2 linked regions of the Tamandua tetradactyla genome follow. The protein of the gene in region 2 binds, or shares a complex with, the protein of the main gene of each other region. Links are inferred from orthologs where the notes say so. Each region holds a gene or a part of one and is shown on either strand. Other genes may lie near its edges.

Region 1 (7,226 bases), on a different chromosome or scaffold from region 2:
TGACCAAGTGGAATTTATCCCAGGTATGCAAGGATTGTTCAATATAAGAAAACCAATTAATTAACAATATTAATTAACATTAACAGAATGAAGGGAAAAAAACATGATCATCTCAATCGATGTAAAGAAGGCAACTGACAAAATCCAGCACCACTTTATGATGAAAACACTCAGAAAGCTAGGAATAGAAGGAAATTTCTTTAACATGATAAAGGACATATATGAAAAACCCACAACTAATATCATATTTAATGAGGAAAAACTGAAAGTTATCCCTCTAAGATCAGGAAAAAGACAAGGATGCTGGCTGTCACACTGATATTCACTATTGTACTGGAATTTCTGCCAGAGCAAATTAGTTAAGAAAAAGAAGGAAAAGGCATCAAAATTGGAAGGGAAGATGTAAAACTTTCTCTATTTGCAGATAACATGATCCTACATACAGAGAATCCTATAAAATCTACAACAAAGCTCCCAGAGCTAATAACTGAATTCAACAAACGTGGTCGGGTACAAGATTAACACACAAAATCTAGTAGTGTTTCTATAAACTAATAATGAATAATCAGAAGAAGGAATCAAATATCTAGGAATAAAGTTAACCAAGGATGTAAATGAATTGTGTATAGAAAACTACAAAGCAATGCTAAGAGAAATGAAGGAGGACCAAAATAAATGAGAGTATATTTCATATTCATTGACTGGAAAACTAAATATTCTTAAATGTCAACTCTACATTGACTTACAGCTCAATGCAATCCCAATAAAAATTTCAACAATCTTCTCTAGGGAAATGGAAAGGCCAATCATCAAATTATATGGAAGGTTAAAGTGACCCCCAAACAGCCAAAGCAATCTTGAAAAAGAACTAAGTTGAAGGACTCACACTTTCTGATCTTAAAATTTTTTACAAAGCCACTGTAATCAAAACATCTATGGTACTGGCACAAGGACAGACATATAGACCAATGGAATCAAATTGAGAACTCAGAAATTAATCTTCACATCTATGGCTAACTGATTTTTCACAAGGGGGCAAAGACTACTCAATCAGTTAAGAAGAATCTCTTCAACAAATGGTGCTGGGAAAACTAGATCTCTATTTACAAATGAATGAAGATGGACCGCTATCTCACACATCATACAAAAATCAACTCAAAATGGATCAAAGACTTAAATATAAGAGCCAGAACTATAAAACTCTTAGAAGAAAAAACAGGGAAGTATCTTCAAGACCTTGTATTAGGAAATGGTTTCTTCAACTTTATACCCAAAGCACAAGCCACAAAAGAAAAAACAGATAAATGGGACCTCAACCAACTTGAAAATTTTGTGCAAAAGACTTTATCATGAACATAAAACAACCTACCCAATGAGAGTAAACATCTGGAAACCACATATCCAATAAGGGATTAATATCTGTAATATATAAAGAAATCCTTCAACTCAACAAATAGACAACCAATCCAGTGTTAAAAATAGGCAAAAACTTGAATAGACATTTCTCTAATAAATAAATGGCCAAAAATCACATAAAAATATACACAACATCATGCGTCATCTGGGACATGCAAATCAAAATCATGAGACACCATTTTACACCCACTAGAAAGGCTTCTATTAAAAAAAAAAATCAAACAGAAAATTACAAGTGTCGGAGAGGAAGTGGAGACACAGGAATACTCATTCATTGCTGGTAGGAATGTAAAATGGTGCAGCCACTATGGGAAGACAGTTTGACAGTTCCTCAGAAAGTTAAGTATAGAATTACCATATGACCCAGCAATTTCACTACTCGGTATATATCCCCCAAAAATTTAAAGTAGGGATTCAAACTATTTGTACACCGAAGTTCATAGCGTCATTATTCATACTTGCCAAAAGATAGAAACAATCCAAGTGTCCACCAACTAATAAATGGTTAAACAAAAGCGGTTTATTCACACAAATGAATTTTATTCAGAATAAGGAATGAAGTTCTGATACAGGTGATAAAACTGATGAACCTTGAAGACATTATGCCGAGTGAAATGAGCCAGATATAAAAGGACACACATTGTATGATCAAACTGATATGAAATAATCAGAATAAGCAAATTCATAAAGTTAGAATCCAGAATACAGGTTACTATGGAATGCGGTGGAGGTAGAGAATAGGGAATTAAGGCTTAAACTATAGAGGGTTTCTATATAGGACAATGCAAAAGTTTTGGTAATGGATGGTGGTGAAGTTAGCACAACATTTTGAATGTATAAAAGCAATGAATTAGATATCTAGTAATGTAATTAAAACGGGAAATGCTATGTTGTATACATGTGGTTAATTTTTTTTAGTTCAAGGAACTGCACAACATAGTAAACTGTAAGTTAAGCCATCGACTACAGTTAATAAATTACAAAAATGAGCTTTCGTTAACTCTAACAAATGAATCATACCAATGCAAGTTTTTAATAAAAGTATTTAATACGGGAATCCTGTATTTTATGCATGAATCTTCTGTAAACTCACAATTTCTTCATTAAAAAAAGGTTCGAACACCAAGAACGGGTCGCCTTGGTGTATTAGTACCGATAACGGAAAAAAAAAAAAAAAAGATCTGCTTCCTACCCCCCTCTTCCGCCCCCTTAGAAGAGAATCCATAAACACCACTGACAAGAAATAAAACTTCTCAGAAAATTTGACAGGACCCTGGAGCACAAGAATCATAGTGGACTGCTGGGAAGGAGAGAGATCCTACGCTTCCCCTTCTCACTCTACCTGTTCCCTCCAGGAGCTCTGCGCAAAGCCCCCGCTGCCCGCCTCAATCTTCCCAGAGTTCCGAGGGGCCTCCTGCCATCCTACACTTTATACTGAGGCACCGCCTTCGTCCGTCCCCACGTCCAGGTTTATTTCTCGGGCCCTCTTCCTCCTTTGCTTTACCTTAGGAAAGGGGTAGACAGAGACAAATCTAAAGAATCCACTCACCGAGTTCACAGCATCTTGCAGCTGCGTGAGCCGATCCGCCATGTTGATGGCTCACGTAAAGCGACGCTGCAGCCTCTGCTCGTGCGCGATTGGGCGGCGCTAGTCGGGTCTTGGCCAATCACAGGGTGAAGTTGTCAGAAGAGGTGGAGTCGGAGTGCTCTCTGGGCAAGACTTTCTCAGATTAACTTTAAATTGATTCAGCTGGAACTCTTTTTGAGGAACTTGATGACAGTTCGGAGTCCGATTAGCTAGTAGGGCTGAAACTCTTCTCGAGGTTGTTAGGTGTTAAACACTTTGTGGCGACTATGGGACTCGGTGGGGGGCGGGGGTTTAAAGCATTTTTTTCTACCCTCCGCCACCATGTTTTAATTTTATAACAGCGTCTTAGACTACTTATTTTACGTTACTTTTATTTTCCAGGTGGACCATAAAACATATACCCAGCATGCAACTCCAAATACTTGGGAGTCACGATACCGACTTTAAACTCAGAAAATCCAAAGTAAAATTCACTAGACAACCGGGAAGTTCTGGTTGGAGTCCCTCCCTTGTTGTGTAGGGTCACGGAAGGGCTTAGCGAACTGGAGACTGGGTGCAAGCTGTTCGCGTTAATTCAGCGTGTGGGTGTACTGGGGAGTCTGACGCACGTGAAATGGAAACCGTCCAAAACAACTGAGTACTAGGCTGTATTGACTGTTAGAAAAGTACCGCGTAGTGAGATCTCCATGGGCTAAGGTGAGGCGTGAGAGAAGAGGAGGGTCGGTGGAGAGGAACATGGAGGTTTTACAATGTGTAGTCAGAAGAGGAGAGTTTCCTGGAAATAAGCGAGATTCATAGGTTGGGTAGGTTGCATTTTTAAAAGATACTCAGCGCAATTTAGACTCAGAATAGAGACCTATTTAAGTGTGAAGAGAGCTAATGTAAATTTGTTATTTAAGGAAAGTTATCCTGCAAGGGCTTGGGGGATAGCCTGAAAAGAAATGAGCCTAGAATCAGCAAATAACAGCTTTGTGGACTTTGAATAAACTCAGATACCGTCTTTCTCAAGGATTAGGCTGATTATCCCTGATTACCCTCCTAGGGTTGGAGGAGGGTGGGGGAAACAATCAATTGGGTAACTCTCTTGCTGGATTTATCCCAACCCTTGCTCGAGGGCTCGTCTCTGACTTTTCCTGGCATCTCACTCTCCATCCCTAAGCCTTCAAAGTTCCTGTTGGGGCTTTATTAGAAAGTAGGTGAGGCGACTCTTTCAAAATGGGGCTAATGAGCGGTGACTCTAGTTTGTTAAGAATAGTTTGGGGGGAATCTGTGACTTTTTTTCTCCTACCTGGTACAATACATGTACCTTATTGAATGCCTGCCGTGTGCCAGATGTGTATGTTGGGCGCTGAATTTTCAAAGATGAGTAAACCAGGGACTCATTAGGAGGAAGATTTTGCAGTTATCCAAGAGTGGGATGAGTTAAATTTAAATTAGGATTTTAATTCTGGTAAATGAAGAAAGGAGGCTAAAACATGTTTTTGAGGAAAATTTAACATGGATTGGTGATTGGTTAGATAAGACGGGATAAATGAAAGAATGCACTAAATGAGAATACTGAGTTTTTCAGCCTGACTCATGAGAACTTGGGCTCCTGGAGTAGAGGAGCCTCTTCAAGATAACTCATATTAGTACACACCTTGCTTCTAGATTTTCAGTTGCCTTGCAGAGACTACAGGTTGAAGACAACTATTTCTACCCGATTTTCAAGGTTTGCTGTAATCCAGCTCCAGCAAAGAGATCCAGCCTCACCTCCCAATCATTTTCTGAGTGAAATAAACCTCTGCTTCAGTCAAAGCCCCTGAATCCTTGTTTTCCCCAGTTTTTTTTTTTTTTTTTTTTTTTTTTTTGGCCATGGGCTCTGTTTTATTTTTCCAACTGCTAAAACAAACAGCATACAATGGGTTGGATCAAACAACAAGAATTTATTGGCTCAAGGTTTTGAGGCTAGGAGAAGTCCCAGATTGAGCATCAGCAAGGCAATGCTTTCTCACTGAAACTGTGGCATTCTGGGGCTGGCTTGTCTTTTCTCTTCTGACCTGTGGCAAATGCACATGGCAGCATCTTCTCCTTTCTCTCTGGGTTCTGATGTTTTCCGGCTCCTGTGGCTTCTTTTCCATGTCCAATTTCCTTTGCCTTTAAGTACTTCAGCCATACTGGATTAAGGCTCATTCAGTTCAGACACACCTTAACTAATAACAACTTCTGAGGTCCTATTTACGAATGGGTTCCCACCCATAAGACCAAGAGTTGGAATCTGAACATGTCTTTTGTGAGGAGGACGTGATTCAATACCTAACAGGCTCTTTTTTTTTTTTTTTTATGCTACATAACCACATACAAACACAAACATTCTTGTCATATGAACATTCCATTCTTGCTATATAATCAATAACTCACACTTTCATCACATAGTTGTATATTCATCATCATGATAATTTCTTAGAACTCCTGCATCAATTCAGAAAAAGCAATAAAAAAAACAGAAAAAAATTCATACATACCATACCCCTTACCCCTCCCCTTCACCAATCACCAGTATTTCAATCTACTAAATTTATTTTAACATTTGTTCCCCCTATTATTTATTTATTTTTAACCCGTATGTTTTACTTGTCCATCGATAAGGTAGACAAAAGGAGCATCAGACACAAGGTTCTCACAACCACACAGTCCAACTGTGACAGCAGTATCATCATATAGTTATCTTCAAGAAACATGGCCACCAGAGCACAGCTCCACATTTTCAGGCAGTTCCCTCCAGCCTCTCCATTACACCTTAACTAAATAGGTGATATCTATTTAATGTGTAAGAATAACCTCCAGGATAACCTCTCGACTCTTTTTGGAATCTCTCAGCTATTGACACTTTGTCTCATTTCGCCCTTCCCCCTTTTGGTCAAGATTTTCTCAATCCCTTGATGCTGAGTTCCAGCTTATTCTAGGATTTCTGTCCCACGTTGCCAGGAAGGTCCGCACCCCTGGGAGTCATGTCCCATGTGGAGAGGGGGAGGGCAGTGAGTTTGCTTGCTGTATCAGCGGAGAGAGAGAGGCCACATCTGAGCAACAGAAGAGGTTCTCTTGGGAGTGACTCTTAGGCCTAATTTTAAGTAGTCTTAGCTATCCTTTGCGGGGTTAAGTTTTATGTGAGCAATACCCAAATTGGAGACTCGTCCTATTGCTTTGGCTGTTCCCACTGCCTGTGAGAATATCAAGAATTCTCCCCTTGGGGAAGTTGAATTTTCCCCCTTTCTCACCATTCCCCCTAGGGAACTCTGCAAATACTTCCCTATTCACTGTTCAAATCGTTCTGGGATTTATCTGGGCATCACTCTGGCAAACCTACAAAATCTCATGAACAGCCTCCTTTTTAAAAAAATATTTTTATTGAGCTATCTTCACACACCATATAGTCCATCTAAAGTATACAATCAATGGCTCACAATATTGTCACATATTTGTGTACTCATCACCATGATCATTTTTTAGAACATTTGCATCACTCCAGGAAAAGAAATAAAAAAGAAAAACCATAATCCCCATACCCCTTACCTCTCCATATCACTTACCACTAGTATTGCAATGTACCCAATTTTTTAACCCCTTATTCCCCTTTTATTATTTATTTATTGTCATTTTTTTACTCATCTGCCCATACCCTTGGAAAAAGGAAGCATTAGCCACACGGGTTTCACAATTACATGGGCACACTGTAAAAGCTGTATAATTATATAGTGCTCTTCAAGAATCAAGGCTACTTCCAATGTTCTGGAGCAGCTAGAAGGAAAAATCTGAGATGATGGTATGGTAGCCCATGATAAACTTTGGGATGCTTTGAAAACTGCTTTTTTTCTTTGCTTTGTTTATGTGTTATACAATATTAAAAACAGTTTAAAAAAAACTATGTTGTAAACAGCTATACGTAAATAATTCTTGAGGAAGATCTATCAGCAGGCATGTCTACTGTCATAATGCTATTAAAAAGCAACAGCTTTCTTACCCTAAAAAAAATACACTGTGAACTAAAAAGGGATATCTATATAATGCATAAAAATAAACACTAGGATAACCTCTCGACTCTGTTTGAAATCATTTGGCCACTGAAACTTTGTTTTGTCTCATTTCTTTCTTCCCCTTTTTGGTCAAGAAGGTTTTTTCATTCCTATGGTGGCAGGTCCCAACTCATCTGAGGGAGTCATGTCCCATGCTGCCAGGGAGATTT
Region 2 (7,017 bases):
TCTAGTGGTCCTACCTTTTACCTGGCTTTGCCTTGTAATCATCGAATTTACAGCAAAAGGTCAATATACCAAAATGAACTGTATCTGTATATGCTAGCAACAAACAATTGGAGCATAGAATCTTAAAAATACTATTTAAAATAGCACCCAAAAACCGTGTAAAATATTTAGGAATAAATTTAAGAAAAGATATACAAGACTAGTGTACTGAAAACCACAAAATAGAGCCAATAAAATTTAAAGAAGCCCTAAATAAAAGGAGAGATCTATCATGTTCATGGATTGAAAGGTTCAGTATTGTTTAGTTATAAACTGCCCACAAACTGTGCTACAGAGTCCATCCAATTCCAATCAAAATACCAGTATGTTTCCTCCCAACTTCGGATAAATTGATAAGCTGATTCCAGAAATGCAAAAGACATCTATAATAGTCAAAATGAGCTTCAAAAAAAAGTTGAAGAAAATACCTTATCCTTTTTCATGACTTACTAAATTATAGTACTTGAGACAGTGTGATATTGACATTAGGAGAGAGTCCAGAAACCTATTAGACCTATATTAATACAAGGAAATTCACTGAAGAAAGGAAAATTGTTTTAACAAACAGTACTAGAACAAATGTATAAGCGTATGGAAAAAAATGAGTCTCAACCCCTACTGTACACTATTTACAAAAATTAATTCAGGATGGATCATGGCCCTCAACATTAAAGCTAAAACATAAATCCTCTGAGGAAAAAAAAAGACAAAACTGGAGGATATCTTCATGACCTCAAAGTAGACTAAGATTTCTTAGGCCACTGAAATGCTAACCATAAAATTTAAAGAGTTTTCAATTGGACTTCATCAAATTAAAATTTTTCCTAATCAAAAGATATCATCTAAAAATGAAAAGGCAACTTCTGGAGGACCTCTTTTCTTGCTCAGATGTGTGGCCTCGTTCTCTCTAGGCCCAGTTCTATAAGTGAAATCATTGTCCTCCCCGCCACGTGGGACATGACAACTAGGGGTGAAAGTCTCCCTGGTGGTATGGGAGATAACTCCCAGGGATGAGTCTAGCCTGGCACTGTAGGACCAAAAATGTCATCCTGACCAAAATGGGGAAAAGAAGTGGAACAAATAAGGGATCAGTGGCTGAGAAAGTTCAAAGAGATTCAAGAGGCTACTCTGGAGGTCACTCTTAGGCAAACTTCAGTTAGACATTGCTACCTACCATAACTTGCCAAATCCCAACTAAAATCATTCCAGACAATCTCAAAGAACACCTAGAGCAATATGTAAGATTCTACAAAAGTTTCATGCAATTGGAAAACTGTCCAGAAACCTACAACTTCCAGATAGGTCCCTGGACCAGATAAGTCCTGAAACCTAGAGGGCCCAGCCTCTCCAGAACATCAGCTAGTTCCATCTCCCTACTCCATATTATTGACAGCCCCTTCCAACATTAAAAAGTTAGAATGAGCATAGCCCAAGTACCCCTAAAGAGTGGGAGAAAGTTCAAAGATGATGGCTGAGTTATCCAGGAAAGGTAGAATTTAACAAATGAGTATAACTGCTGACTCATTATATTGGTATTTTAGTCTCCAGTATCTTGGAGCAGCTAGAAGTAAAAACCTAAAATCGTGGCATTGTAGCCCATACCAAACTTTGAAATCTGTTCTACAACTAATTGTTGTGCTGTGCTTTGAAACTTTTTGCTTTTCTGTATATATGTCATTTTTCACAAAAAAGAAAAAGTCAATTGTGATGATAAAAATATATTTACTCCTTCTAGTCTCTAATGTTCTGGAGCAGCTAGAAGGAAAAAATCTGAGATGATGGTATGATAGCCCATGACCAACTCTGGGATCTGTCCTGCAACTACTTGAAAACTATTCCTTTTTTCTTTCTTTGCTTTGTATATAAATTATACAATGTAAAAAGTGAAAAAAAGAAAAGGCAGGCCAGGGCTGGGAGAAAATGTTCACTATACATATATCTGATAAAGGATTGTATACAGATTATATAAGAACGCCTACAAATAAATAACAATAAGAGAAACCACACAATTAATAACGGACAAATAACTTGAACAGACCCTTCACAAAAGAATGGCCAATAAGATATGAAAAGGTATCAACATCATTAGTCAATCAGAAAATGCAAATTAACCCCCAAGGAGATACTGCTACCCACCACTTAGAACAACTGAAATAAAAAAAAAAACTGACAACACCAAATGTCCATAAGGACGCAGAACAACTGGAACTTTCCTCCAATAGTAGTGGGAGACAAATCAGTTCAACCACTTTGGACAACCGTTTGGCAATTTCTTATAAAGTTAATCATATGCTTTGACATAAACATGAATCAGAAATTCTGCTCCTAGGTATTTACCCAACAGTGGGGAAAATATATGTCTACAGAAAGACTAGTATGAGAATGTTTGCAACAACTTTATTCATAATCATCAAAAACTGAAAATAACCTAAATATCTATCAAAGGTGAATCAATAAATAGCTACATATAAATATAATGGAAGACAATTCAGCAATGACAAATATGGATGGATCTCAAAATATAATGTTGTGTGATAGGAGGCAGACACAAAAGATTACATGCTGTAGGATTCCAATGATATAAATTTCAAGAACAAGCAAAACGAATCAATGGTTATAGAAATGAAAACTGTTTACTTCTGGGAAGGGGAGTTACCTGCAAAGGAGCACCAGGAACTTTCTGAGGTGATAGAAATTTTCTATATTTTGATTGAGTGATAGTTACACAAAGTGCGAACATTTGTCAAAATTCATGGTTCTGTACAATTTAAAATTCACGCATTTATTATATGTAAATTATACATAAATCTTAAAAGTATTAGGGAAAAACACATTAAGTAGGTCTGGAAATGGATAGTCAATTTTTATTCAATGAATGCAGCATTAGCAAGCGTAATGCAACATTAATTTGCATTTGGTTATGGCAAAAAAGGAATTGTTTTCTGACCATTTTACCTTTGTAATTACAGAAGCCTTGGTCAATATTAAGATTAGTTGACATTTTGCCAAGAATACACTGATTTAGTTAGCAGGTAGAGTTTTCACCACATAATAGGTGAAAACTGTCTAGAACTAAAGTATGATTAAAGATAATCTGAAATACAGATAATCTGTTTTCCATAAAGAAAATAACAATAGATTATTAGAGAACTTGGGTTTTAATAACCCAGGCTCTGTTATTTTCCTGGGTTGAATGTACTGCAAAATCAATTATTTCAATACAATTTATTAAAATACCTACCAGTGCACTGAGCAGAGGGAGGATAAGTGTTGCGTAAGTGGAATGCTCTGCTACGGGTGCATACAAGATGTTAGATGAGGATAAATCACTTACCTCTAGGGGAGCAAGGCTAGCTTCATGAAGGTATAAAAATTAAACTATTTGAAGGAATGAAGCGGTCCCACTTACCTTCTGCTCTGACCTCCAGAGGATCAACCTACCTTTGACCTTTCTCCACTCCTATCCCCATAAAGAGGCTGCAGGTATTGAATAAAGGGCAATTATTTTTAGATGATTATAACTAAAAATGATAGCTATTCATTTTTTTTTCAATCTTTATCGAAAGCCTACAGCCAGCTCTGAGTCCGGGCACCTGGGCCACCATAGTTAAGCAACATGGTCCTTGTCGTCAGAAAAAGTGTGGTTTCAACACCCGCTGTTCGCGGAGCTCCAGGATGCCCCCCCCCCCCGCGCCCCTTTTTCTACCTTTTGCAGAAGCGTTAACCCGGAGCAGGAAGTAATTCCCACTCTGACCTGCAGGGCGCGCCCCGCAGCCGTCGACGCCTCCGAGTGACTTGTACTCGAGGTTCCTCTGGGGGGCGCTGTTGTGCGGCTCGCGGGCCGCCCTTCACCACAGGCGGAACTGGCTGGCCGGCTCGTAGTTTCTGGGAGTTCCTCCATCGGAGCGCACCGGGTTGTTCTCAGCTTCCGTGCAGGTCCGGGTTGTTTACGGGGCCGGGAGGAGACGCGCGGGGAGGGGCACCTGCGGAGGAAACCCGGGGCGAGCTGAGGTTTCCTCGGGCGTCTCAGCCCCTCGGCCGTCTGTTCCGGGAGCCGCTCGCCCCACAAGGCGTGGGCAATGGTACAGATGGAGACGCAGTTGCAGAGCATTTTTGAGGAGGTGGTGGTGAGTGGAGCGGCCCGGAACCCAGGGCGACGCGTCGGGGTGGGGAAAGCAGCGGGGCCGCGGACCCACGAGCCCGGCCTGGGCAGCCGCTTCGCTCTCCTCCCCTTGTTTTCACACGGAGTATGTATGTGTGCAGGAGGTTGTGATTGTCAAGTGCTGTCATTCGGGGTCTCTTTTGAAATCCACACATCCTTTGTGGTAGGCCTGGCTAGTATTGTTACATTCTGCGTCGCTGATCGGGGTGATTGTCATGCTACATTGTAATAAATCGTTAGGGGAGCTCCCCCCAGTTCCCACTCCTTTTTTTTTAATTCACATCGTTCACGTGTTTGCCTTTTTTTTTTAACCCCCACAGAAAACAGAAGTTATAGAAGAGGCTTTCCCTGGGTGAGTATAGTGCATGGCAGGTTTCTGTGTAAAAAACATGAGGGTGCTTTTGTAAGACGACTTAGGTTCGTCTTGGAGGATTATAATATAGACTATCCTGGTTAAGTTGAATTCACTTTTTTTTAAAGCTAGTGGCAAATAATCTCATTATTAATTTTTTTTTTTTTTAGTATGTTTATGGATACGCCTGAAGATGAAAAAACAAAACTTATCAGCTGTTTGGGGGCCTTCAGACAGTTTTGGGGTGGTCTTTCTCAGGTGAGCATTGCATTTTTTAATACATTCATTTGATGATTTGGGACCTCTTCTTTCCTTGAGTTTTACTCTGATGTTGCTGTTAGGAACGTCATTCCATTTTTCTGGAAAGGGAGAAATAAAATTGTCATTGTCTTTTCTTTCTTTCTCTATTCTGGCTTACATTTGTTTTAATCTACCTATTTTCAATGAAGAACCTATCTTGAGAAGTCAAGTTGATGACCGACCGCACAGTGTTGAGATATTTTCGCTAACCTATAATGAGATTCTTTATTTGATATTTGTTGAATGTCCCCCTGTTAGATTAAGATCATTTCACTAATTCTTCTGATTTATTTGATGCACTTGAAGACAACTGTGTTGGGCGTTGTAAAAGGATAAAAATGTCACCAACTTTACTCAACAGATGAAGGAACTATCACAACACTAATAGAGAAATTTGTTAAGGAGATAAAGATACCATAGTAAAGATGCAAAGGTAATGCAATAAAGATACAAAGATATCCAATTTAAAGGATACAAAAAATGTATTAAAAATGTAAAAAGTGCAGTAAAACATAGTAACAAAGGATAGTTACTGGGAAAAAAAAAGACCTGTGTCCCTGAAGAAGACAAAATGTGTGATCCTTATAGTTTGTAGTATATAATCTTCTCATAGTACATTAAGATAGGAAAATGAGAACTGTTTGCGGTTGAGCCACTGGTGGTTAGACTTCACAGGCAGGGGTCACATAGTCATAAGGCATTCAGATTTAAAATTTTTAAAAATTGTTCTGTAATAGGTAATACATTTATGTGGTTCAGAAAATACAAAAGGGAGGATCCAATGAAAAGTCACTCTTTTAGCTTAATCACCTGCTCTTTTTTTCTCTCTGCAGCCAGTGTCTCCAGTTTGTTTTTTTAGAAATATTTTATGCATATAGAATTGTACTTACAGAATGGTCATGTACTGTGTATGCTTGGTTAGCTCCTTGTTTTCTTCCCCATGATAATAAAAACTGAAGGTAATTCCACATCAGTCCAGTAAGAGTTATTCCTTCCTTCCTCCCACCTTCCCTCCAGTCTTCCCTTTCTTCTAGCAGCCTAATATGTATGTCCATGTCTTCATTATTCAACTCTTTGTCTATGAACTGACATTTTCATTGCCTCTTAAATTTTCCACTTTAAACAATGCTGTAACGAATTATAGTTTGCACAGGACATAGAATAAATGCTGGGTCAAAGGCCTGTCTGTTTGTAATTTTTATAAAATTGCATAATAGCCTTCCATAAGGGTTGTACTAGTTTACACTCCCACCTGCTATGTAAGAGAGTGTCTCTTCCTTGTAGCTTCACAATTGAGTGTTAATAAACTTCATGCTCTTTGCCAATCTAATAAGTCAGAAATTTTATCTCAGTATGCTTTTATTTCATGTTTCTGGAGTGAAGTTCGACATCTTTTCAGCATGTTTTAGTTCTAAATTTAGTAAACGTTTTAGGACTTAAGGTATGGTCCCATCTTCAAGAAGTACTAATGGAGGTGCCAAGAAGTAAATGGATATTTCTGAATCTGTGTCACATCAATAATACAAGTATGTATGAGGGACAGTGGTAATACAGAGGATGTATAGGATCTTCTTGGGTGTATCTCAGAAGACAAATTCTGATAGGGGCACAGGGTTTTAGTGTCACATTTAAAGCTTTGCTAGACTAGAAATTGGATATCTAATTGGATTTATAATCGATTGGGCTTCTAGGGGTTAAATTTATACTAACTTCTCATGAGGCTGATGTACTAATCCATAATGGATTTTCCCCCCAGCGAGACAGCAACATTTATATCTGCCGTTAAAGGCACTACTTCTCTTACTTCTTCAGGGTATCTGGAGGGTCAATTTACAGCCAGAATATTGACTACCTCAAAAGGTGTGAGATACCTGTTGTTTCCCTCCTCCTGTAGTAAATCTTTTTGTTTTGTTTTGTTTGTGAAAAATAACATATACCAAAAAAGCAATAAATTTCAAAGCACACCACAACAATTAGTTGTATAACAGATTTCAGAGTTTGGTATGGTTTATAGCAGAGACGATAGGATTTAATGAGTGAGTATGACTGGTGAATCATTATATTGAATTTCTTTTAGTTACCAGTGTCTTGGAGTAGCTAGAAGGAAAAGCCTAAAATTGTATTGTGACCCTTCAGTAGATCTTTTGTGACCAAGGAATCATCT

What was found. Proteins that work in one complex are often made in the same cells at the same time.
Region 1: MED23 (region 2) and MED21 share a complex: the UniProt entries of both Homo sapiens proteins name them as parts of the mediator complex. The link is inferred for Tamandua tetradactyla from reciprocal best matches to the Homo sapiens genes MED23 and MED21.

The regions. Positions count from the first base shown.
Region 1 is NC_135333.1:90,067,875-90,075,100, reverse strand, and holds the start of MED21 (mediator of RNA polymerase II transcription subunit 21), read right to left. Parts: upstream 3,058-7,226; 5' UTR 3,008-3,057; coding exon 2,966-3,007; intron 1-2,965. UniProt on the Homo sapiens protein: Component of the Mediator complex, a coactivator involved in the regulated transcription of nearly all RNA polymerase II-dependent genes.
Region 2 is NC_135351.1:31,606,245-31,613,261, reverse strand, and holds the start of MED23 (mediator of RNA polymerase II transcription subunit 23), read left to right. Parts: upstream 1-3,981; 5' UTR 3,982-4,118; coding exon 4,119-4,166; intron 4,167-4,521; coding exon 4,522-4,553; intron 4,554-4,723; coding exon 4,724-4,811; intron 4,812-7,017. UniProt on the Homo sapiens protein: Required for transcriptional activation subsequent to the assembly of the pre-initiation complex. Component of the Mediator complex, a coactivator involved in the regulated transcription of nearly all RNA polymerase II-dependent genes.